2 linked regions of the Oreochromis niloticus genome follow. The protein of the gene in region 2 binds, or shares a complex with, the protein of the main gene of each other region. Links are inferred from orthologs where the notes say so. Each region holds a gene or a part of one and is shown on either strand. Other genes may lie near its edges. The genes, in order: tpt1 and bcl2l1.

What was found.
Region 1: the proteins of bcl2l1 (region 2) and tpt1 are in contact, whole or in part, in a crystal structure (PDB 4Z9V), measured with the Homo sapiens proteins. The link is inferred for Oreochromis niloticus from reciprocal best matches to the Homo sapiens genes BCL2L1 and TPT1. Residues at the interface, in NP_001304848.1 of Homo sapiens: Ala93, Glu96, Phe97, Arg100, Tyr101, Ala104, Phe105, Leu108, Gln111, Ser122, Gln125, Val126, Glu129, Leu130, Asp133, Asn136, Gly138, Arg139, Val141, Ala142, Phe146, Leu194, Tyr195, Ala199, Ala200, Ser203; in NP_003286.1 of Homo sapiens: Phe14, Asp16, Ile17, Lys19, Ile20, Arg21, Ile23, Ala24, Asp25, Gly26, Leu27, Cys28, Leu29.

Annotation. Positions count from the first base shown.
Region 1 is NC_031987.2:11,358,336-11,370,733, forward strand, and holds tpt1 (translationally-controlled tumor protein homolog), read right to left. Parts: upstream 4,733-12,398; 5' UTR 4,608-4,732; coding exon 4,580-4,607; intron 3,964-4,579; coding exon 3,890-3,963; intron 2,398-3,889; coding exon 2,213-2,397; intron 2,124-2,212; coding exon 2,018-2,123; intron 1,248-2,017; coding exon 1,131-1,247; intron 926-1,130; coding exon 923-925; 3' UTR 446-922; downstream 1-445. Other genes in the region: E3 SUMO-protein ligase RanBP2, read right to left, coding at 6,622-6,927, 7,177-7,532, 7,712-7,985, 8,092-8,246, 8,344-8,430, 8,919-9,159, 9,327-9,502, 9,674-9,760 and 1 more. UniProt on the Homo sapiens protein: Involved in calcium binding and microtubule stabilization. Acts as a negative regulator of TSC22D1-mediated apoptosis, via interaction with and destabilization of TSC22D1 protein.
Region 2 is NC_031984.2:31,793,977-31,806,316, forward strand, and holds the start of bcl2l1 (bcl-2-like protein 1), read left to right. Parts: upstream 1-7,627; 5' UTR 7,628-7,922; intron 7,923-8,722; exon of another isoform or gene 8,723-9,053; intron 9,054-11,651; 5' UTR 11,652-11,874; coding exon 11,875-12,340. Other genes in the region: arfgef2 (brefeldin A-inhibited guanine nucleotide-exchange protein 2), read left to right, coding at 251-380, 495-630, 2,224-2,362, 2,512-2,569, 2,769-2,877, 2,988-3,127, 3,515-3,692, 3,995-4,133 and 2 more. UniProt on the Homo sapiens protein: Potent inhibitor of cell death. Inhibits activation of caspases. Appears to regulate cell death by blocking the voltage-dependent anion channel (VDAC) by binding to it and preventing the release of the caspase activator, CYC1, from the mitochondrial membrane.

The sequences.
Region 1 (12,398 bases), on a different chromosome or scaffold from region 2:
ATTCAGTAAATTACATTCATCATACACCTGACCTTGGGTCAACAGCCACAAGCCCTTTAGCTCACTCCTGAACAACCTCTGTACTACCAGCTCTAGTCGTCCTACTAATTTGTGTTTATCCATTACTTTGTATGGCACCATTTTCCAGTAAAGCAACATTTTTTCTTGAATTTTGCTTTTACACAGGACTCCTTTTGTACATGAAGCCCACACATTACATTGCCAGCAGCTACTGGCTGTGACTGTTCTGCACTTCACAAAAACCTGAGAATCAAAAAGGTGAATGAGAAAACCCAAAGACAACTGCACATGAGATCAGCTTGTCAAAGCTACAAAAGCATCTTTTCAAGCAATTCAAAAAGGATATTCTGAAATTCAACCCACAAACTGCCTGTTTGCAGCACTAGAAGTGAAGGTTGTCACAGAAATACAGAGAAATGAAATGGAAAGTTGTGGTACTCGTTTTTATTCGTTTTCAAATTAAACCATAAGTCTTTATTGTAGATGGAATCTTATTTAATGCAACCACAAACCCAAACTCAAAGGGGTCCGGTGATGCCAACCTGTATGGATCGTTGCTAAAACAGTTATGCAGACAAAAAACAAATGTCTTCTTTCAGCCAGTCAGAGCTTTGCTCGCTGTCCAGCCTTTTGTTTCAATCACAAAAACTGGGCCAATCCTGGGACAAAAATCAAACACTGCAAAAGCCAAAAAGAAAAGGTTAAAAACTGTATTCGGTGACTAATCATGTTTGATTCACCCCCCAGGTTTGGGAGCGGTTCTGTGGGCCGTAATGTGAATATTTAAGAAATTGGACAATGTTTCTGTTCAGGCATGATGCAAGGTAGTGCTCCTCCAGTCTGCTTTGTAGGCCATTTTGGAAGCAGCAGTCAGGTAAATGGCAGATGTAATTCCAGGTAGTTACTGTGGGAAAGAGAGAGGAACAGTGTGTAGTTATTAAATTTAACCATCTACCATCAAGTAGACAGCAGGCATGATTTTACAAACATGGAACATTCATTTAGAAATCCAGACTGTGTGTGTGTACTGTGGCATACTGATGTTCTCCAGCAGGAACACTTTGTAGTTTGAGAAATGTATCAAGTCTTTCCCACTTCATAGCACTTACGCATTTTTCGATCTCCAGGCCATCTTTGAAGAAAAGCATGAATGGTGTGATGCCATCCTCACGGTAGTCCAGCAGACCAACCATGCCCTCTGGGTTCATGGACTCTCCTGTGAAAAACTGCAAGCAAACAGCAACCATTAGACCTTCCTCTCAGTTCTATAGAAAGACTGAATTAAAAAACAAGTTCCGATTACAAAGATTTGCAAATCTCAAACCCATAATTTATTCACAGTAAAACACAGAAAATGCCAAATTTTTAAATCTAATAAAATATAATTTCAAATTTGGCAGCTTTTCTTGAATTTGATGGCAGGGGCAAGTCTCCTCCTCCCATCAAATGTACCTTCATTGAGTCACAGATTAGGTACGTTTCATTAACAAGCTTCGGGATGCTGGCTGTCAGCCACAGATCAACATGTCAAAGAACTGACATGTTTATTTCAAACAAGCAAGCTGGTTAAACTTGTCTTTTTGACACTACTTAACAGCAGCACCCAGTCTAGATGTCAAGTATTCACACTATGTTATCACACACAGTCTATAAAGCTACAAACTGACAAATGATAGAGGCAAATACACCTCCAGGATAAAAACATTAGCAACTGATGATGACTCACAAAAAATCTGTCAGCTGAGATTTTCCCATAAACTGAATTGCCACAGTTTTCAGAGAGCTTCAGCTACATGATTCAACTCAAGTTTTGTATAGAGACCCACACACACAAAGTGACATGCAGGCCTTCCTACGAGACTTGAAAATGTCACTCAAACTCAAATTTTAAGGGTTTCAAAAAAATACTGTAGTTACTGTATTCGCAAGGCAAAACTTTACATTTACTTTTGGTGTGAACATGGTGTAAAATGCCATTTCATCTCTGTATAGCTACCTGGTAGTTCTTGATGTTCCCCAAGATCTTCTTGACTTCTGGTTGGATGTCAGCCATAAAGCTCTCCACTCTATCTGGTTTGGTCTCTTGCAGCTTGGCCTTAACACTAGACATGCAAACAGACGCGTTCATTTAACAGAGCCAAAGATCATTCAAAACCAGAACTCCTCCATACTGGCACATCGAGCTACTCACGCCTTCACATAGTCCTTAATGTAAGTCATGTACTGCTTCTTGTCAAAGCCCGTCTCCTGCAGTTTGTGGTTCAGGACGATGTCGACACCGGAGATTGTGGAAGACTCGTTGCCCTCGGTTGCTTCCTCGGCAGAAGCGTTGGCTGCAATTAGAGAATCATCAAACCCTTCTGTCCTGGTGACGGTCTGTAGTTGAGGAGAGGAAGAAAAATGAAAAAACAATTATTGCTGGTGCATCATAGCAAGGGCAATAGTAAATGATTGGGAAATACCAATAGATCAGTTGGCCTTCAATTCAGTATTTTTGAGCTATTTAAAAATGTATAACTAACAAGAACAGCCGGCTGACTCAAATGTTGTCGCCTGCGACAGTTTCCCAACCCCTTCGAGGCTAAACCTCATTACTATAGTATTCGTCATTATACCTGAAGCAGTTTATCTGTTGCATTTATGTACTTATGGGAAAAAAAAAAAAAAAAAAAAAAGCATACACATAAATACAGCCCTTCGTCATACACATCTTAAAATTTACCCTAGGATATTATTTAGCAAAACCCTGATCCGCCATTCTGATCTGAATCACATCTTTTGTTTAAACATAAATGTTACTTTTTTTGTTAACTTAAAAACAAAGGTTTAAGTATTTGCTTGGTAACTACTTCACCTAGTTTCTTTGACTAATTTTAAAGTATGCTTAAAGACAAATACCAGGCTAACATGATACTTCAAACTGTTCTAGTATTTTAAAAATAAAATTTGTCTGATTCTTAGGCAGGTTAAGGACCTTGAAGTTACGCTATTGGAGACCTGCAACTATGATTCATCTTCAGTCATAGTCAAGATGACGTCATGGAAGTACACCCAGAAATCACATGACTCACTCCAAAAAACATCTACCAAATCTACTTTAAACATAAGTAGTGGCCCATCCTGAATAATAATACCAAAGCTATAAGAGAAATTACAAAACTGGGGAATAGATTTAAAAAGAGCAGACGCTTGTACATTATTTGTTAATTACCATATGATCTTGTCCCGGTGTTTTAGATGCAAGCTCAGCCAAGACAGAAACAAATAAAATGCTGGTACCTTTATTTTTCCCCCTTTATCCCCCCTATCCCCCTTTGTGGTCAGCTTTCCCCACCCCAGTTTCTCTCTCTCTTTTTGGGTGAGTGTGTTGGTATTTGTCGCTCAAATTCCAATTGCTTTGTACATATGTCCATTCCAATAGTTTCAGCAGTCTCCTTCCAGTAATTAGCTGTTTCTATGTTATATTAATACGATGATTATTATTATTCTTTATATTGAGATAATGATGGCTACTCTCTCAGTAATGAACTCAAAAACTGGTTAAAAAGTAGCCAGAAGCCACTCACAGAAGGAATGGACAGTACTGAAGAGGCCAACACAACAGTCGTGGGCTGTATTGATCTAATGTGTTGTTACATTTCTAGTGAGGTCTGCACCAGATAACGGTGTAATTTCCTACCGAAGCATAAATCCCTAATAAGGGGCAGCTTAAAGCAGCTACTTATTCGCTGATGTTTTATTAAAACACCTTAGTTTTGGGTGTATGCCAACTACACTTTAAATTTCACTGCAAAGCAGCAATGAACCAGCTGTTGGAAAAAGGTGAAACTGGTTAAATCCTCTGTTGAACATGTGGTGGCGAACTCACCTTTCCTTCAACCTCAAAGAAGATCCCGTTTTCACTTTCTTTGACTTTAAAGGCATCTGAGAACATCTCATCACCTGTAGAAGGAAAAGGGAGGAAGGAACATATTACAACACTCCAAGCTAACATCATGATTTAAAAGAACAAAAGCAGCAGCAGAGGCTTATATGTTATCCACAATTCAAGGCTGAATCTTGTGCGATTAAAATAAAATGTGAGGCGCAGTGGCGGGGGAACACTAACAATGATTAGTCTAGAAAAATCTGCCGGACAAAAATAAAACTGCAGCAGAGGGGGGGATGCTGAAAGGCCACATACACCACGTTACTTTACCATGACGAACCCCAACAGGAATAGCCCCAACCCCCGGCAACTACCAAGCCACCTCACCGGTGACTGAGCCGGTACTCTTTTACACTTTTATAAAACTTTATTTGAGCCGAAGTGCGGGCAAAGCTACAAGCTAACCGGCCACAATCACCGGCTAGCCCAACAGGGTGGCTAACTCCACATACTCTTCTGATTGAGTTAGCATCTGGCTAGCTAGCGCTAACTTCCGAACCATGACAACACGAGTTAGCTCGTTAGCGTGACCAACTCTCACCTATAACATAACAACACACGTGAAATAACACACGCGACCATCACGCTACCTGGTCAGCGTGAAAGAAGACACGTAAAAAGGTCACTCACCGCTGATAAGGTCCCTGTAGATGATCATTTTGCTGCTTCGGTGTTAATTCTTCCCAGAGACAGAGAGCAGGCCAACCGCCCAAACAGCACGGGAGAGGAAAAAGACCGATCAGGCCGCGAGGCGCTACATTTACATCCTGCTGACGTCACTGTGGGTCGGCTCCTGCTCCGGGTTCTGCCGCCACTTGTGGGTGGTCAGAAGTGGTACTACAGCTATTCTGAGCCTCGCGGTGATTGATTTTTGCAAGTGGGGCTTAAACAACCAGATGGAAAATAATAATAATTTAAATTAATTTTATCTTGGATTATTTTGAATGTTAGTGATTGATTAAAAATTTTATTGTGTGGGGCAGAAACCTGAATAACTAGGAAATTCTGGATCATCACAGCACAAAAGGAGCAGCTTGTAGAATCTGTTGCATGATCTGAAGCTCTTCTGAGGCTCTTTCTTTGAGATTTTTCCCCATGTGACAACCTCCATGGTGGACAAATTCTCATTTCAAGAACCATCTTTACACAAGCATTGAATACGTTATCAGTTGGCAATCGCCCCCGCGAACCATTAGTTGCTGGGGGAAGATGTGTATTCCCTGACCAGTTGGCAAGTTGTTCCTGGGGAGAATTAAGGGGTGCTGCAGCAAAAGCCTTTAGATTCCTTTGGTTGTTAGCAGGTATTGGTGTAGTTTGCATGAAAGACACCAGCCTGAGGAATTGCAAGGAGGTTTTTGGTGTAGTACCATATTTGTTGCAGCCAGTTTTAACTAGCAATTGGCAGCAAACTACAACCATAGTTTGCGGGGGGGGGGGGGGGGGTTCTTGTCTCTAGGCCTGTGTCACTAGGGTTTTATGTTTTGTGCATGACAGATTGCAGCATGAAAAAGCAGTTTGGGCATTTTTGTAATTATCTGACTAGCTTTATGGCTCAACTCGACACTCAACCATTGAGTGAATCTTTTATATACAGTCTGTAGACAACTTATTGCAACTACTCACTTTAAGGTTATACTACTTTACGCTCAATACACTTTCTTTCCATCACCACTGGTAAGTTCCCAGTTTTCAAATAGTTTGATGCTTAAAGAAAAACTTTGACATCCATCCAGCTATCCATTTTTCATCCACTTTGTCACATACAAGACCTGAATGCAAAATCTTTTAAGTGGTGAAATAAGGTCAATGAGTCTAAAAATACCCCGAGTGAACCTGCAAACTGTATCAGAGCAAAATGAAGTCAACAAGGATAAGCCATACAAGCATCGATTATTCGTAAAGCAACTTTATTGTTTAATAATAAGCATATTTTGGTACAAGTGGCACCATTTCAGCCTTTATTTATCTCAAACTATACATGAAATGGATCCCCTTTGTAAAATTCAAACCAGATTATCATTGAGCCACCACAAAGTGAGATTACTTCAGGTTGCATGGGCAAATGTGAAGTCCAATTACCTGCATTGTGGAATCCATTGAAACAGAAAAAAATCCTGTGGGCGCCCAACAGTTAAAAGTACATAGAGGCAGCATTTGGAGGAAAAGGCAGGGGAGCAGTGGCTTAAGACTTGTTCAAAAAGGGGGAAAAAAAATTACCAGAGTGGAGCTCATGGAGGGAACAACTGCATTGAAACAGAGCACATGCAAGACAAAAAGGAGGAACAAACATTTAGAAAAAAAAAAAAAAAATAGTCCATGTACATTTATACACACAAAATACACATGAGAATTTATTGACAGATGATAAAGACGCAAGTGCAAAAGTTTACAACATCTGTTCCAAAAGCCTCCACTCCTTTACCAACTCGCTTCTGTTTTTGTGAAAATGTCAGGACAGTGAAAGAATATCTAATTCAAGGCTACTGTGGACAAGTTTCTGTGATGAACGACTTAACCAGCAGCCCTGTGATCGGCGCCTCGTGACTAAAGATTCAGTTTTAGCAGGAATGTAAGTACTGCACAGGGTACACACTGCTCTCATCCAGAGTCTCAGCTGATCTTAACTTAATAACCTACACCAAGCCGTAAAGCTTCATCTTAACATTAAAATGCTACAGCTGTCCGCAGTCTGTGATGATGATCTTCTTTGTGGGAGTGCCTGCCTTTGAGCCCAGCTCTCCCATCTGCTGCACCACATCCATGCCATCCCGAACCCAGCCAAAAGCCACATGTTTGAAGTCCAGGTGTTCGGCTTTCTTCAGGGTTATGAAGAACTGCGAGTTGTTGGTGTCGCGCCCGCGATTTGCCATCGACAGGATGCCCGGGCCTGTGTGCCGGACATCAAAGTTCTCATCCTCAAAATTGTTGCCGTAAATGGACTTGCCTCCTGTGCCGTTATTCTTGGTGATGTCACCACCCTGAAAGACCAATGGAGCACTTGTTAGTGATGTTAGAGATTTGCTCTTGAGAGTTTTCTTTTAAACAACAGGGCTTACTTTCATGGCATCAATAAAATACTTCATACATCAAATTACAGAGCTGTGCTATGATTACAAACAACAACCAGGGTGTATTTTTGTCAACCCAGAGTAAATCCCACTTTGTTGTAATCAAACAAGTTTAACATTCATCTGATCTTGAAAGTCCAAACCCTGATCTTTCCTCACCTGACACATGAAATCTGGTATGATCCTGTGGAAGATGGAGTCCTGCAGCCCAAAGCCTTTCTCACCAGTGCAGAGAGCTCTGAAGTTCTCTGCAGTTTTGGGTACAATATGTGAGAACAGCTCTACAGTGATTGTGCCCAGAGGTTGGCCATCAGCTGCCAGCTTGAGGAACACCTGTGGGTTAGTGTCTCTGGAGTGCTCCTGAATTCTGGACATCTGTGGCGAGCACAGAGACGAGGCATCACCATCAATTTGGCCCATCCGGTTCTGACACTCGCAGAAGGTCTTTTTGAAGGATTCGGCTATTTCAGGGGTTTTGAACTTGGCCGCCAGCTGCTCAATCACACCTTCGCCATCTGGATAAACAAAAAGGGGGCGAGGAGAAAGAGAGCAGGTGAAGAACAATCCACATGTTGCCTAAAGAAATAAACACATGCAAGTGGTTTAAAAATCCAAGATGAATGATTAGTGAGTATTTACAGACAAGTCACACAACGCGGCACAATACAATGTCACATCGATGGTGTATGTGTACCTGAGTAATCAGTGGCAGTCCAGATCAGTGCGTTCGCTGAGGTGTTCATGGGTTTGAGCTCCATCGCCTGCGAGATCTTGTGGTTGGCGCAAACCCGCAGCACCTGTTCTCTTCTCATCAGGATTCGGTAGAAATGTTTGGTTGGGTGGAAGAGGATCTTGATGTCACCGATGCCGCGCTCCTTCCACTGGCCGATATCCCGGTCCCATCGATACAGTTTGGCACGCTCCTTGAACAGGATCTCCTCGTCCTCCTCTCCAGACTTAGTCTCCACCTGAGTGATAAATACAGTTCTGATGTATGAGATTCGGGGTGGCGCTTCTTTTGTGGAAAAGTTTACTAATTGTTCTAAAATGTTAGGGCTAAGCACGAGCACGTACCTCAGGCAGAGATACTATGGGCTCAAAGTGAATGTCCACATTTTTAGGAGCTTCTTCTTCATCACTTCCCTCCTCATCAGCATTGGTTTTAGGCTGAGAGGCCACTGCAGATCCAAACACTGTTGCTCCAGCATTTGCCCATGAGAAATTAGAATCTACATTTTTTTTAAAGAAAAATTAAAATAATTAGCAGTGAAACAAGACAACAGTCCAGATAAACAACTGAAGAAAATGTTTAATGTTAAAGCCAACCTTTTGATCCAAATGCAAATCCATCTGTATTTTTGGCCAACTCAGCAAAAGAAAAGCCAGATGCATTGAAGCCAAAGGTGGAGATGTCTGCAGCCAGAACAACAAAGACATTAAATACTTAAAAGCCTTTTCCACCCCTATATCTGTCAAAGTTAAAAGGTTAATACAGGGATGATGTATTCTCTAAGTTCATAAAGCATATTAGAATCAAGCTGTGTTCAGAGTGATAAATGAAAATATAATAGAGAATTCTGAAAAGATGGCACCATAATTATAACTTTCACAGGGGGAAAAAAAGCCTTTTTAAAATCATATTTTGGGGTAACTCATTTGAATAAGTCTTCATAATAACTCCCCAGAAACATTCTGAGTATAAAAGAAACCATGTATCCCTTCAGCTGAAATTCTGTCTGTGCAAAAATGTATTCAATATTTATCATTCAATCTAGCTCCTCATTTTAACATTTTTTTCAAATTTAAGTTAAAAGTTGGAGTGAAATCCCATAAAGTATGTGGCTGAAGATGGAGTTATGTTTCATTTGAAAACACTCATGCCGTTTTTCACACTTTTTTACCTCGACTTGTTGTAGCAGTCAAAGATGCAGGTTTAGTCTCAGTGTTGGACTCCAGCTCGACACTCTTCTTAGTTGAGAGGTCAATGGGAGAGCTCCTGCTAGGAGTTGCTGTGGTCTGTTTGTCTGCTGTAGATGTGCTGTCGGCAGCCTCTGCTCTGCTGGATGATGGTCCTGATGCTGGCATTTCAGGGGTCACAGCAGGACTGCTGGAGGCTTCGTTAGATTTGTCTAACTGAGCAACCTGATACAAATTTCCAAATTAATACCCATCTTAAGATGCCTCTGAGTATTACTGACAGAGTAAAATAATTTATTTAAAAAAGTTAACATTTGTTTGTTTTTTTAAAACAAAAGTTGAGTTTCCTGCTTGTATAATCTGAATTATCCATGTAAATTCGGAGCCATTACCAGGACTTCATGTACTTTGCGGACTTCTGTCTCAAAGTCCTCAGGCTTATCCTGGTCCGGGTCGCTGTCCGTGGTGCTCAGGCCACAGAAGAAGGTGGGTGGAAGCTGGAGGCTTTTGGCTTTTTTCTCCTCCTCTGGTGTTGGCTTCTTCTCCCACACCACCTGACAGTCTGACTCTGAATGCAGCAAACAGCAAGTTTAGGCTCACATTTATTAAGGTACACAAATTTTGGACTGTATAGCTATAACAGATCGACATAAAAGCCTTTAACATAGTAGCAGAATTAAACCAAACCAATTGTCTTGAGTTGGATATAATAACATGTAACAGGGTTTAGACTACATACCATCACCACATGCTGCAGCCTTTCTCTCAGGAGGATCAGGGTAGAGCTTTCCATTCAAGGCCTTCACCGCTGATTCGTAGTCTTCATCTGAAGTTTAAAACAAATGTTTCCTTTAATTATGTTTGCAAAGAAAATTATAGCGTTTGTTCAGACTTCTACCCATAAAGAATGAAAGATTAAAGGCAATTTTGTATTCTCAGATTTAAAACGACAGAGGCCAGCTTCGCAGGCATTACTGAACCTTGATGTCAAAGGAGACAACTCCCCCCAAAAACAAAAACTAAAACGAACAAACAAAAAGTCCAAGAAGTCCTTTCTTAGCTTTCTGAATGGGACAGTTACTAGTTTGTCTTATAAAAGCAGAAATTACAGTTTCAAATAATAAAATTTAAATAAAAATTCACTCCAAATAACATGTTTTAATTAAGGTTAAAGTTCCACTTTGATATTTATGTCAGGACAGATGTATATCCTTATACAGAAATACCGTGCATCACATTTTTCACTCATTTAAAAGGATGTCAGAGATCCTGTGGAGTTTCACTAACAGCAGCACTATGGAGTCAAATGTTTGACTCGTATAAAGTACACATTAGTGTCACCTATTTCACACTACTCTGCTGACCAGTTGGCAGCTGTACCAAGCCAAGCAGACAAAGAGTAATAAAAGACAGCCGATGCACTCTTTACATGGAGACAACTTGAACATGTTTGGTATAAATGAGTGAATTACCCAACCTTTAGCTGTATCAGGTTGGATATGAATTGTAAATGGACCATTAAATTTTCACAGCTGGTCTTCAAAGCTCCATCCATCTAAACTCCCAGCAACTCGCATGATTTACTGTTGTTAGGTTTTTTGTTTTGTTTTTTTAAAACATTTTTTTTTTGTTTAACAGAAGATGGCAAAATGTTTCTAGGTGCACTACTGCTACCTTCTGGCTCTAATAGCTCATTACATCATATGTGGGAGCGGTGGCATGTTAAAACAAAAACAAAAACAACAACAACAACAACAACAACAACAAGGGAAAAAGGTGTTATAAGGCCAAAAAAACCAATCAGCTTAATGCAGATTCAAATATTCAAAATAAATGATCAATTATTAAAAAGTCATGTACATCTCTTATACCAGCCTTATTTCTCAAAACTGTCAAATAAGGTGACATTTACCAGTGCCAGCAGCACTTCGGGTGTCACATTCATTTTTGCACTGGATACATTTTTTGGGGTTCAAAAGAAAGAAATAAAAACTGAAAAGCTAACAAAAAATGTCTATATAGCATTTCTTACATCGTCTCCTGGGAATGTTAATGATTCACAAATAAGCAGATTTATTTCAGCGAGTCATATGTACAACCACTGATGTCCACTTTAACAAACCCTCGTTCCATATCTTGGGTCTCACCGTCAGTTTGGTCATCACTGATGTAGCCTGGTTCATTCTTGTAGCAGAAGAAGGTGATGGGCAGCTGGAGCTTCCTAGCTAAAGCTGCCTGCTCAGCTGTGGGTTCCCTGACGTACACAATCTCCACCTCCGAGTCCTCATCAGACCTAGCACTGCTTCCCTCTGCCTGAGGGGATCCTATGATAGATGGATATGATAGGAGTAAACAAGTCAGGCTGGGAAAGAACTTTTGGAAGACAGGCCAAAATGTAAAAATTAAAAGCCTTTACAACCACAGGTGTTAATTACACACACACACACACACACCCCCACACAAAATCATGCACAGCAAAACATCATGCATTTGATTTACAACAGTGAGAGACATGTTTTTATAAGCAGAGGATTTCTGCATGGTCTCGTTTACACCACTTACTCTTGGACGAATGGTATCGTAACATTAAACAGCATAAATACCTGAGCTTTAACTCTAATTAGCCTTTGCTGAGGTAAACATCACTGCCAGAAATCAAACCAGATGAGGAATTACATTTCATGCTGTTGCTACAGACCCAGCACTAAAAATGGCACATGTGACGTTTGCACAGTGCATTCCTCTCTAAAGCAACGCCCTTTGCTCTCAGCTCACCTTTCAGAAGACCTTTCTGCTGCTAGTCTAACTCCCCCACACTACAACTGTGGCATCGTTGTACTCTTGAATTTGGTCTCTCTGATATATACAGGACATGAAATGAAGGGCAGTGTAAGACCTTCCATCCAGACTGAAGACTCATGTGAAACAATAACATATATATAAGTGAACATTTGTTTTTTGCCAAGTCAAATCAAAGAACCTACATGTTTCACTTTTGTACAGATTGTGTATAAGAGATGGATGTAGCCACCATGAAGTCACTGACCAGTTTGTAAAGCTTCGAGTTGAGGTCCACACTTCTCTCCAAGTTGAGAAGTGTGGATCTAGCCATGATGCCACCCATTTGTTAGTGAAGTCCCGCTATAAAGCCTTGAGCTGAGGCTTTCATCATCTAGGTGTTTTAAAGCTGAATGCGACAAAACAAGGACTGGATCTGGCTGCAAACCTGAATGCTCACTGGTCAACAATTTGTGGTTGACAACTCTTTAACCGTGATTAACCCTGCTCCAAAATTGACTTAATGTTATAATTAGTATAACCGGATACTAGCAACTGAGCCCATAAAGGCATCAGGATAGTGATTTTCTATTCAACCCCAAATCGTTTTGAAACTCCTGGGCGCCCCCTGGTGGCCAATAAATAGAAATCTGTAATGTTCTGTGTTGAAGTTGCTTTTAAGAAAC
Region 2 (12,340 bases):
CATGTGACTGTCAGACTGTCCATCAGATGGAGGTCATATATTTGCAAAGTACTTTAGATGTACAAATACACGCTAAATGGAACAAACCAAGCCACGCATTATTATTTCTGTCACACTGCAGACCTTTACATAAAGACTCACGATTGGATCAGCTGTTTTAATGCATCTTTTGCACTTTATATACAGTAACAGTTTTGTCCTGGTTGCGCCATGATGCATGAAAACTGACGTTTACCGTTTCTCCCGACAGAGGTCTCACAGTCATGTTTGAGATTATGAAGAGTTACGGCCACACCTTCGAGAAGCACTGGTGGCACGACCTCTTCCGAATTGTCTTTCGCATCTTCGACAACATGAAGCTTCCCGAACAGCAGACAGAGGTCAGTGCTGTGTGTGATTTCAGCTGTTCAATTATTTATGTACAGAGGAATTAAAGTAATAAAAAAGTAAAAAAACAAACAAACCCCCCCCGCTCCTCTTTTGTTTGCTTCCAGAAAACTGAGTGGATGACGACAACGTGTAACCATGCCCTGTATGCCATCTGTGACGTGTTCACACAGTTTTATGAGCCTCTCAGTGAAATCCTACTGGCTGACATTTTCACCCAGCTCCAGTGGTGTGTCAGGCAAGGTAGGTGTTCATCATCGTCATTGCTCATTACACTCCTCTGTCCTGACAAACAACCTTTAAAGCTCATGAGGCAGAGCGCTAACACCTGTTCTATTTTAGGTGTGCAGGCTGGTGTCCTGATGATATATCTCATATGTAGGAAGAACAGTAAGCGGTCGGAACATCTCTGCCCTCTCAAACAACATTATTTATATTCTTTGGATTATTTTATTGATGAGGAAAAAAAACTCTCCTAAAGCATCCAAATACCAATCCATCTTCTACGTTTTATCAATCATTTCACAAGGGGGCTGCAGCTTATCCCAGCTGTCATAGAGCAGCAGGTGGAACATTAATGAGTTGAACCTGTTTGGTTTGTCAGTATTATCCCCACCCTAAACTCCAACTAACTGAGAGTTCTGGGACTACACCCATACAAATATAAAATCTTCAAGCTCTTCTACTCATGTACCTCTGCACACGTTTCCAATAAGCTACCATCTCTGTCCACTTGATGGTTAGCAAACATCTTCTGTTTCTGACCTGACCTTCATGTCAACAGTGGTTACTTGTGATGAGAGCTGGGTCCAGCTACAACCAGTAATGAATTCTACTGTTAAAGTTCTGAGTTCTGCTGAACAGTAGAAAAGGCATAAGGTGTATTTTGGCCACTTGTGCCACTTGTTCATCAGATTTGGTTCCCTGTCTCTTTGTTCTCTTCCCTATGATTAAAATTTACCTTGAAGGGATTGCTGCTTTTTGGGAAGTGGTGTTGGGACAGTGATTAGCACTGTGGACACATAACAAAGTCAGTGGTTCAAATCTGCCATCAGGGCAGTGGAGTTTGCATGTTCTCCCTGTGTCTGCGTGGGGCGTTCAGTGACATGCAGTTAGTGGGGAGTATCAAGACTGTCAAGGGTTGTAGCCTGCTTCTCACCCTACAGCAGCTGGGATAGACTCCAGCACTCCCGAGATCCAGAACTGGATAAGTGGAAGAGGATGGATAGCGGTTTCAACTTAACAGTGATACAGTAGACCTTACAGAGGCATAAAGTGTAAAGGGTCAGAGCGGGACTTCCAGAACGACGTGTTAAAAACTAGCAGGTCTGCTGAAAGCCATTCATAGGTGCCATAGGAGCCTGCAAATTACATGGGTTTTAATTAAAGTAGTTTTGAGGGTTTCTTTTCTAATGGACAGAGACTCAGAACTTTATGTTCACAGCCCAGAGTTAGAGCAGGTGATATTTCAGATATGTGTATGAATGTGAATAGGGGCAATAAAATAAAAGTCAGTCAATTTGTTTTAGAATTTTGGGGCGATTTTTTTTTTTTTTTTTTTTTTTTTTAAGAAAAATCATAAAAATGGTGGGTGGCACATGAAGAAAAACAGGTAACGAATGCTTCTATGTGGTCATGTGAAACTGTACTTTCAAGGTGCCCGCTCCATCACCTTGGAGCGGGCAGAATTTTCTCCTCAGTTTTTACTTCATGCACAGCTTTAAGGTTTTGACAGGCGGCGCACCTGCGTGCGTTATCCAGTTCTGGATCTCGGGAGTGCTGGAGTCTATCCCAGTGAGGCAGATATGTTCTGAAGTTGTTCTGTCTTTTCTGCAGACAACGAGCAGCTGGCTCGGTCCGGGACAAACTGCCTGGAGAACCTGGTGATCCTGAATGGGGAGAAGTTCAGCCCCGAGGTGTGGGACATAACATGCTCCTGTATGCTGGAGATCTTCCAAAACACCAGCCCTCAAGCGTGAGTGCTGATCTTCTATACTCGAGTTCAGTTAAAGTGTAAAAGATGGCATCACTAAGTTAATGGGCGTTCAAAAATTGGTGTGTGTAAAAGTTACTGTTGCGTTTGTGCTGTCACATGATTGTGGATTTTTTTGCTTTCCAAACCAGTTTGTTGACTTGGCGACCGGCTGGACAGGATGAGGAAGCAGCTGACGCGAAACACTTTGTAAGAGGAAACAAAAAACCTCACCAAGTTCTCCCTGTGACTAAACGATGACTATGCACAGCAGCAGCTCTGCACATGCTTCATATAGTTTACTTTTAACCAATGAAAAGAACTCTCCTTTTCACACTGTTTCCACTATGTCAGACACTAACCTGTGTCTGTGTTCATGGTGTATTTTGTCGCTCCTGTACATTTCCAGGATGCTGATTTCGACACTCAGTCACAGAGCAGCTACGACCGAGCGCTCTCCGAGAGAGGACACAGCCAGATGTCCAGTGATGACACCTGGAAAGGCAGAAGCAATGCCAGTAAGCAAACGGGCGCATGCGTTTTTATTCAGTCTGTAAAATGAATAATCTCAGCATGAATTCCAGGGCTCATATCTCCACACCTTTCTAAATACCTTTCCCTGCTGCAGGAGTTTCAGACCAGAGGCTGTTTGCAGGCCTGCTGATCAAATGCGTCGTGCAGCTTGAATTAATACAGACCGTCGACAACATTGTCTTCTACCCAGCCACCAGCAAGAAGGAGGATGCTGATAATATGGCTGCTGCGCAGGTAAAGCTTGGCACCTCACCCACTCTATGTCAGTGTGTCACTTTTATTCATAATCACAAAATCATAATCCCGAATGAGCTGAAGAGGCGAACCAAAGAAAAGAGAGTGAAAATGTATTCCTGCTCTTCACCTTTACAATTTTAATATGAGGTGGTGCAGATAAAATGTGGAAGCAGCCACGGACAAATGTTTCAGGAAAAAATAGTTCTGCTAAAAATTTGTAGTTAGCTTGAGTTAATCCAATTAAATGAGTGTGTGCACAGTCCCAGTGGGTTTCAGTAGGCCACCAGTGGCCTAGGGACCAGAAATGTCCAGTGTCCGCTAGTACAGCCTTATTTTTATAACTATTATAAAATCATATATGCTAAAGTTTTTTCCTCGTGCCAGCGGGATGCTCTGGAGGAGTCGGAGGCTGAGGGGCGTGAGTCGGGTCCAGATCAGGGCATGTACAGACACATGACGTCCGCACACCTCTTCAAGCTGCTGGACTGCCTGCTGGAGTCACACACCTTTGCCAAAGACTTCAACTCCAATAACGAACAGAGGACGGCACTCTGGAGGGCAGGTAAAAACCAAGGGAAAGCCCCCAGGATTCTCTGTCCTGTGCACGTTACAGTTCAGAAGGTTCTTTGTTTATAGCTTTACGTTAAACAGAGGAGAACTATCAGTAAATAGTGGGAAGAGTAATGGTATATCCAGCCCAGTGTTATTTTCACTTCCTTTGTTTTGTTTTTTTGATAAACAATAGATATACAGAAAGGAAAGGCAGCGTGGAGAACACCGTGATATGCAGCGAAATGGGACACGTCTTAACTACAAGCCTCTGTTACTGATTTAACAGCTGTCATCTCTCTGGTGACCTTTCAGGGTTTAAAGGGAAATCTAAGCCCAACTTACTGAAGCAGGAGACCAGCAGTCTAGCCTGCAGCCTCAGGATCTTGTTCAGGATGTACTCGGACCCTCAGCTGCAGGACTCGTGGCCCGACATCCAGACACGCCTGCTGCTGTGAGTGAAACGCTCTCCTGCACTTTCTCACAGTGTTTCCTGTGTGTCATCACCGGTTAAATGTTAAACCTTAGATAAATAAGCACCGAGTGTGTCACTGGCAGAAAGGGCAGCGCTGCTGTTTGTTCCTGTGTTTTGACACACAGCTCATACCTCATTATAAATTTATGAATGTACTCTGCGTGCGCATTTCGTGTAATATATTGGCATGCTAAAGCCGGGCACATATCACCTCGTCGTGTTTGTCGCTGTAAGCGATGACTCACGTATTGCATCAAGAACACACATGTGAGACGTTTATCATCATGAAATAGCTGCCTCTATGATAAAGATGATGCGGATTGATAATCAGTTTTGTGCAGCAACACTGATACCGACAGCTTTGTGTTTGTCATAATCGTGTATGTGCGTCTGTGTTGTGTCATCTCTCTCAGGGTGTGTAATGAAGCTCTGGGCTACTTCATCAGTCTGACCTCAGAGAGCCACAGAGAGGCTTGGAACAGCCTGCTGATGCTGCTGCTCACCAGGACGCTGCGGCTGCCCGATGACAAGGCAGGAACGCACACGCACAGAGCACACCTCCAAATACACATTAGTAACAACTTGGGGAAAGAGTATTAGTAGTAGTGTAGTGTTACATAAAGTATTTGTTCAGTAAAGCTTTACCTGTGCTACACTCTCCAACTCACGCTGCCTCCTCCCCACTGAATTGAATAACAATAAAATAAAAGTACAAAAAAAAAAGATCAGTTCTTCCCAAGCAAAAATATGTTATTAGTTCAATCCTTTTGAATTGATGTCATTTTTGTGAGTACATATGAATTATGTATTTAGAGAATGTGCATGATGATTCATGGCAGCGCATGACTTGAGGTGCCTTTCCAGGTCATTTTAGACCAAAACCAGAACCGTGCAGCCACAAGTAGTAGGAAATGTTGGCGCCGTGCAGCCAGCCAACAAACCACTGCATCAACAAAAACTAGACCAGTATTGTTACAGTGGACTGGTCGGCACCGCTTTCTTATGCAATCCCTACTTTGAGTTTTGGGAACGTTTCATAATTCCGTGAAATTGTTGTTAAAAGCAGGAAAAAAACAGCAACAAACATGCATCACTGTCGACATATTAATTAAACACCCTGCTGTGAACCTAGTGGTCAGCAACCACCCCTCATTTTGTATATTTTTCCAAATACACTGTTTTGTTTTGGTTGTTTTTTTTAATGTCTGAGTCTTTAGCTAAATGTTCTCCTGTTTGTTCCAGTTCAAGCCTCACGCGTCCTGCTACTACCCCCACCTGTGTGAGATGATGCAGTTTGACCTGATCCCTGAGCTGCGGGCTGTCCTCAGGCGCTTCTTCCTGCGCATTGGCTCCGTCTTCCACATCGCTGCTGCTCATCCAGAGGGAGCGCCCGCCCGGACTCCCGCATCCTAAGAAGGTGGGTGGACAGGGAAACGGCGAGCGCTGGTGAGAAGATGGACACAACTTCCGAGAGACTCTATACCTCTGATTGGACCGGATCGGATCACAGATGGCTGATAAAGACAAGCTTTCCCGCTGGGACTCTGCGTTGAGTATTTCTGTTTTCGGCTGCGCTCGGCAGCTAGAAACACCTTCGCCCGGATCCCTGGCCATCCTCTTTATCTCGGAGATGAACAGCACTGTGACCAGCACTCTCTGCTGACTGTAGTCATTTATCATCCCCCTGACTGTCATCTTGAAAAAACTGTAAACAAATAATTTATTGATATTATTGCAAACCCTTTCACAGATTTTTGAGCGTTTTCTTTTCCTGCTTAATTTTTTAAATACTTTAAAACAAAAAGAAAAATGTCTATATGCTGAAAGGAAATGAAAAATCTCATTGAATTTGATTTCCTTGCATTTGCTCTAGTAAAAGATAAATTCTGGCCACCTGTGCCTGTTTGGGGGAAAAAAAGAAAAAAGGTGATCTAATCAAAATAAGTTCCTTGTGTTAGTGTCAATCCTGAAGCATTATTGAACTCTCATATCTGTGTTAATATCAAGGAGGTTGTTGAAAAGGCTGAACCTCACAACTGCAGGAGAAACCAATCTGCGCCTCTTACAACACTATCAGTGATCTTTAATTGGGAGATCTGTGTGACACTGCCATCCCGTCACGTTTGTCACCTCTTGCCTATCGATGAGATTTTACGTATTTATTTGGCTCACTTTCTTTAGTTATTGTTTGGATAATTGCTGGTTTACAGTGTACGGATGGTTGATATACTGGCTGCTTCCCTCTGCTGTGCATTCCCGCGTGTGTTGACCCAGTCAGCCTTACACTGGGGTCGACTTCTCCTGGCTTTACAGTGGACTGATAAAACCTGCACACATCCATCAGTTGGACTAGAATACTACAGTTGTCCATATCTTTATTTTTTACAGTGTGTTCAGGTATTAACATGACACAGTGTAACGACTTACACTGGATGCCTAGAACTCCCTTTAGTGTTGACCCTCTTCCACATTAGTTTGACAGAGCAAAACCAAAACTTGCATCCACAGAGGCTCCAGCATCTCTGCATCCTGGATCATTTCGAGTTTGTTCCATGCCTTTCTTTTTTTTATTTTAAAAAAAGAAGGATGTATGTAATTATTTAAAGTGCATTTAAATATTTTTTGAAAAGCATTCCTTCCCTCGCAACTATGGATGTCTACTTCCCTAAATCTAGGGAATATATAAATATATATAAATATATACAGTAAATGAAAAAAAATACAGACTGTAAAGTTTTCAATGTAAGATACATAGAAATGAAAGTGCTCTACGGTTCTATACATAATATTGTGATGTAATCTTCTAAGCATTTGGTGACGTAATCAATAAACCTGAGTTCTGATCTACTTCAGTGTCTGTTGGTGCAGTTTTAAAGCTGTTTAGAGGGTGACCAACACAGGTGGTGCCACCTAACATTAAGTGCTGAGTTTGCTGACCTCCAGTTCTAATGGTAAGGGAGGCTGGTAATGCGGTGTGGAATGGAGCCGTCATTAAATTTGCTGTTATTGCACGTGCTTTTTATGACATGACCAAATAAAGCCAATTTAAACTCTCTAAATGTTTTAAAATGTAGAAGCGTGTGGGTATATCAAGATGTCCACAGGGTGGCACTGCAATCAAACTGGTAGTCACCTTGAAGCGTGCTAGGGTTTGGGGTAACAAAGGTTACTATGGAGACCTCACGTCTTTTGTTATCTAAAGTGTAAAGATGCCAAACAGCTGCTACATGGGCCCTTTTATGAAAAAAAACAAACAAAAACAAAAAAAACAAAGTAAAAAGAAATAAACCTTAAAGTTAATATGTAAACGATGAAGTGTGTCATAGTTGCCATCAATGGTCGACTTAAATAATTTATGTCTGTGTGTCAGATGTGACGCTTCAGCATTACAACTAGCGCACTTTTAGCAAGTTAGCGCTAATATTAGCCGGCTAGCGTTAGCTGGGGCTTCATACAAGCTAGCCTTGGCTAGCCCGTAGTTCACGCTGGGAAACAACCCGAAAATCTCAGCGACACTGGCACAGCTCCGTTAATGCATTTGTGGCGGAGTGTTGACGTTAGAAAAAAGCAATGATCCCGCTAGTTGCAGTGAGGCTTGACTGGCACCGGTTGGTTACGTAGAAAGCGTAGCTGTGGGCGGATCTGCGGTAACCAGTAGCTGAGCTAGACCTCCTCCGCAAGACGGGCCAGCAATGACGGATAGGGTTGATCCAGCCGGGGTTTGGATTGTGAGCCACCAGACATGATTATATGAAGACCACCCTACAAGTAAGAGTTTCTGCTCGATGTACAAGTGTAATTCTGATCCCTGTGCTGATGGCGTCGGTGAAATAACGTGAGGAGGAATGGCAGAGGGTGGATTTTCCTATCTGAATCCTGCGAGAGGAAAGAGGTCGACAGATTAGGGAAAAAACGCGCAGCGATACTTTCGTTCCCTCCCCAAAGCTTTCGGGGTCAAAATGTAATTCTGCTTTGTGCAAACTATAAGTGTTCATTGTAGTAAAAGGTTTTGCCTCGGAAAATGTATGTTTTTCAATCTTGCAGTCTGCGAATGTGCGACTACATGTATATGACAGTGACAGCCATGTTCACAAGCTGACTACAGCCGCGTTAGTACAGGCGGAGCAGTCTCTGTCATAATGGCTTACTTAGGAATTTTAGTGTTGCAATGCTAATTGCGGGGGTGGTGTCGTCTATATAAAGCAGGGTGTTGTCGCAAAGTGGCATTTTTCTAACGAGATGCGATTAAAGGTCTTGGAATGGAATTGTGTTGCGTTCAAGGGATCCCCTACAGTTTTCATTAGAAATATCAAAATGTGTGTGGAATACAGAGACAGAGTGGAGTTTATTTAAACTACGGTGAAAACCGGTACTTCAGGTTTGTTATGTATATGTAATTTATTGTGCTAAACGCGTTAAGGCAGATACATTGTGAATAACCGGTGACAGTGCAAAGAAACGTCCCTTTCAATTGAATCGAATTGAAAAATGTAATAAATTGTATCGATCTTTCTAACGAGTTGTTAGCTGTTAAATTTTAAAATATCTAACGCTTGAATTATCTCTAAGAGGTTACTGGAGCGAGTAATATCATATATGTACTGTTTTTAAGTCGTGCACGTACGAGAATTTTCGACACGATCGTGAACGAGGCATCCATAAAAGCGTCGGTGTTACGCAATCGGGGGGGAGGGCTGTCCATGCAAAGAGAGGAGGGGGACGTAGGAGGATACGTGCAAATACAGTCCTGAGCACAAAGTACCTATCTTGTGTTCTGACAGCTTTTGTACACGTAAAGCGACAGACGGGGTTGTCTGACAGATTCGGGACGTTTTCACCGAGAGGATCCGTGTACGGAGAAAAGCACTCCCCCCCCGGGTTTGATATCAAGAGTTGCTGGTAAGACACTCGGGAATGACCTTTAATCCTTATATTTATATTTTTGACGGTGTTAAAACGCCACTTAATAATAAAAAATTAAATATACATCAATATCCTGACGGTGGGGGAGCTGACACAAGCTTTAAGTGCGCCACCAGAGGGAGTAGCATGTTTCAACACTGCTCTGGCTGGTTAATGTGTAAAAGGACAGTTTAAATTCCACCGTAAAAAACATCAGCAGAGACTCCAGTTTAAGTGAACCAAGTTAATGTTTGAGTTAATGTCGCGTTCAGGCGCTACATTTGGTCGCGATTCGCTGGTATTCCTTGAGGAGCTGTGTGGTGTTTACATCAGTGCTGGCCCATTAAAACCCGAGCCACGTGTAGGTAGCTGGGGACCATGTGGCCATTGTAAACACTGCTGCCTTGTGGGTCTTTATGTGCTGTAACGGTCTCTTTCTGTTACTTTTACCACCCAAATGCGGACTAAGTAGTCAGCTGGGTGTATTTGAGTGAGTTTTTTTGTCGGGGGGGGCAGTTTGCTTCTGCCATAGCTCGGAGCCAGCTGACACTGTATCGTGCTTCTATTGTGCTGTTAGGAATATATTGTATTATGTAATGTCACCAGCGCTATTTGCATGGAACTCCCTCCCAGCGGTCGGGCACCCTGATTATTAGGTTCCGCCACGTATCAACGTAAATGTCAGTATTGCTACAGGAAAGGTCAGGCTCCCTCACGATAAGCAGACAGTTTGGGATCACCGGCGGGTCACATCCCTCCCACGTCTTTTTGTGTGTACCAGTGAGTATGGTATGGTGACAGCACATTACAGAAGGGGCTGGGCAGTCAACTGCTCTCACAGAGTCTTTGTTTCAGGGACCTAAACTCAATTTAGAGGCTTCAGGAAGGGAACGGAAATGATTAATAAAGCAGTTTGTATTACTGAACATCGCTAACGTTATTAGGCTGCTGTCAGGGATGTGAAAGTAATAACTGAGGGTGCAGGAGCTTTTCTCCACAGACTTTCTTGTTCACATATGAATTGTGATTTATTTATTTACTTCTGTTAATATAACCTGACAAAAAAGCTGATATATATCCTTGTCAGGCTGTATTTCCCACAACCCAAATTACATGTTTTTATTTGGAACAACTCCAGATATATTCAAATTTCTGTTATACATGTGAATAATAAAACATCCATTAGTCACATTATTGTTGCTGGAAACATTAAAAAATCGGTTTTGCCTAAAATGTTAACTGGAAAACATTTGATTTGATAGAACCAGATGTTGATTTCATCCTAACTATGGACGTTCTAATCATATTAAGCTGCTTCTTCTTTATTGTTTTTTTTGGGGGGGGGATGTTACTCTTTGTTATGGTTGATACTAATGTTTAAAATAAAAATTTGGCTGATAGCTAATACAGATATTTTGTTGTTGTTATTGTAATTTTGTTCTTGCATTTTGCTCCAGAAACACAAATTAATTTATCTTAATTTTTAAACTTAACGTTAACATAAAAAAAACAACAACAACAAAACGCATATTTTAAGGTTTGTCAGCTAAAGATAAGTATCGATATTGATATCTGTGAACTGATATGAGTCAACAAGGCCAATTCAAATATGAATCTGATCTGTGGGTGCGTACCTGTTCGGTATGCTGACCTTTCTCCTCGGTGGTAGTTCACATGTTTTAAACATTTCTTCGCTGACAAAGTTACCAAACATGTGTTTGACCTGTGCGTGACCTATCTGAGCAGAATGTTTGAAGTAACAGCAGTCTGATACATCACTGGTTAAAAGGACCAAATTACTCAGGTTATTGCTGCATGTGTTTGCTAATAGATTTCCAGAATTTGAGTTCAGAGGAAGTTCATGACATTTTGTATATTTAACAACACTCAGGCTGTTTTTAGTCAGCCGCTGAAACATAAACTTAAGTTAACTTGATGAGAACAAACCTGCTAGCTGAGAGTGGCAGCACAGCATCTCCTATACAGTTTTTATTACCACTTTTTATTTTGCAGTTCAACACTGTCACCACACGTTCATGCTAAAGCTGTCAGACGGGCCCATAATGCAAGCTCATATATATGCGTCGTTAATACTTCTGCAACCTCCAACGCCAGTAATGAGGAGGAGGCTGGAAATATGACAGAGTCAGTTTTGTGTGGAGATTTAAGGGCACGTGTGTGAGCGAGAGAATAACGGAGTGAAAGCTTCCCTCAGAGGTCAGAGGTCACTGATTAGGATGTCTATGTGGAGCTTCAAGCCAGACTGTCTTCACCTTCCTCACGCCTCCTTTCACTTTGTCTCTCTCTTTCTCTCTCTGACACACAAACACACACACGCGCGTGTGTACACACACATTCTCTCTGCTGTCGTCTCATTAATATCATCCCATCTGCTTCATATGTAACAGCCCAATTAGAGAGACGCACTTTGACCCTACCTGTCCAAATTTAATTTGAAGGTTCACAGTCGTCCCTACGCTCTCCACTCTCCTTATACAGTCTCTCACACACACACACACACACACACACACACACAGACGTAATCCTGGATATAAGCAATCCAGACTTTGACCTTTCATCGTTGTGTCTCTGCAGGGCCTGAGCCGTGCAGCCTTGTGTAGGTTTGGTTTTCACCCCCCAAGTGTCCCGTGGATATCAGCTGACCATGGTGGTCTGAACAGAGAAAACGGGAGGAAAAGAAAAAGCCTGGCGCAGTGTGTGTACACTCTAACACAGCGAAGCTTGACCACAAGCGGAGCAGAGAGAAGAGCCGGAGCAAAGAGGAGGGGAAAACAAAAAAAGCACATTTAAATACAAAATGTCTCAAAACAGAGAACTGGTGCTTTTCTACATAAGGTATAAACTCTCCCAGAGAAACTATCCTCTCAACCACATAGTACTCAACGAGCCTTTGAACAGGACTGATGGGGGGGCGGCGGGGTTGGATGAGGAACAGCGAATAGACACACACGCCAATGGGACTTTTAATGGCACGAGTCCCGGGACCCCTCCGGCATCCCCGCAGCGGCAGCAGCAGCCGCCATCAACGACGGACCTCGACGCAGTGAAGGAGGCGCTCCGGGACACGGCCAATGAGTTCGAGCTGCGATACGCTCGTGCCTTCAGCGACCTTCACAGCCAGCTGCACATCACGCCGGCCACGGCCTACCAAAGCTTTGAGAACGTGATGGACGAGGTGTTCCGGGACGGCGTCAACTGGGGCCGCATCGTAGGGCTTTTTGCGTTCGGCGGGGCACTGTGTGTTGAGTGCGTCGAGAAGGAGA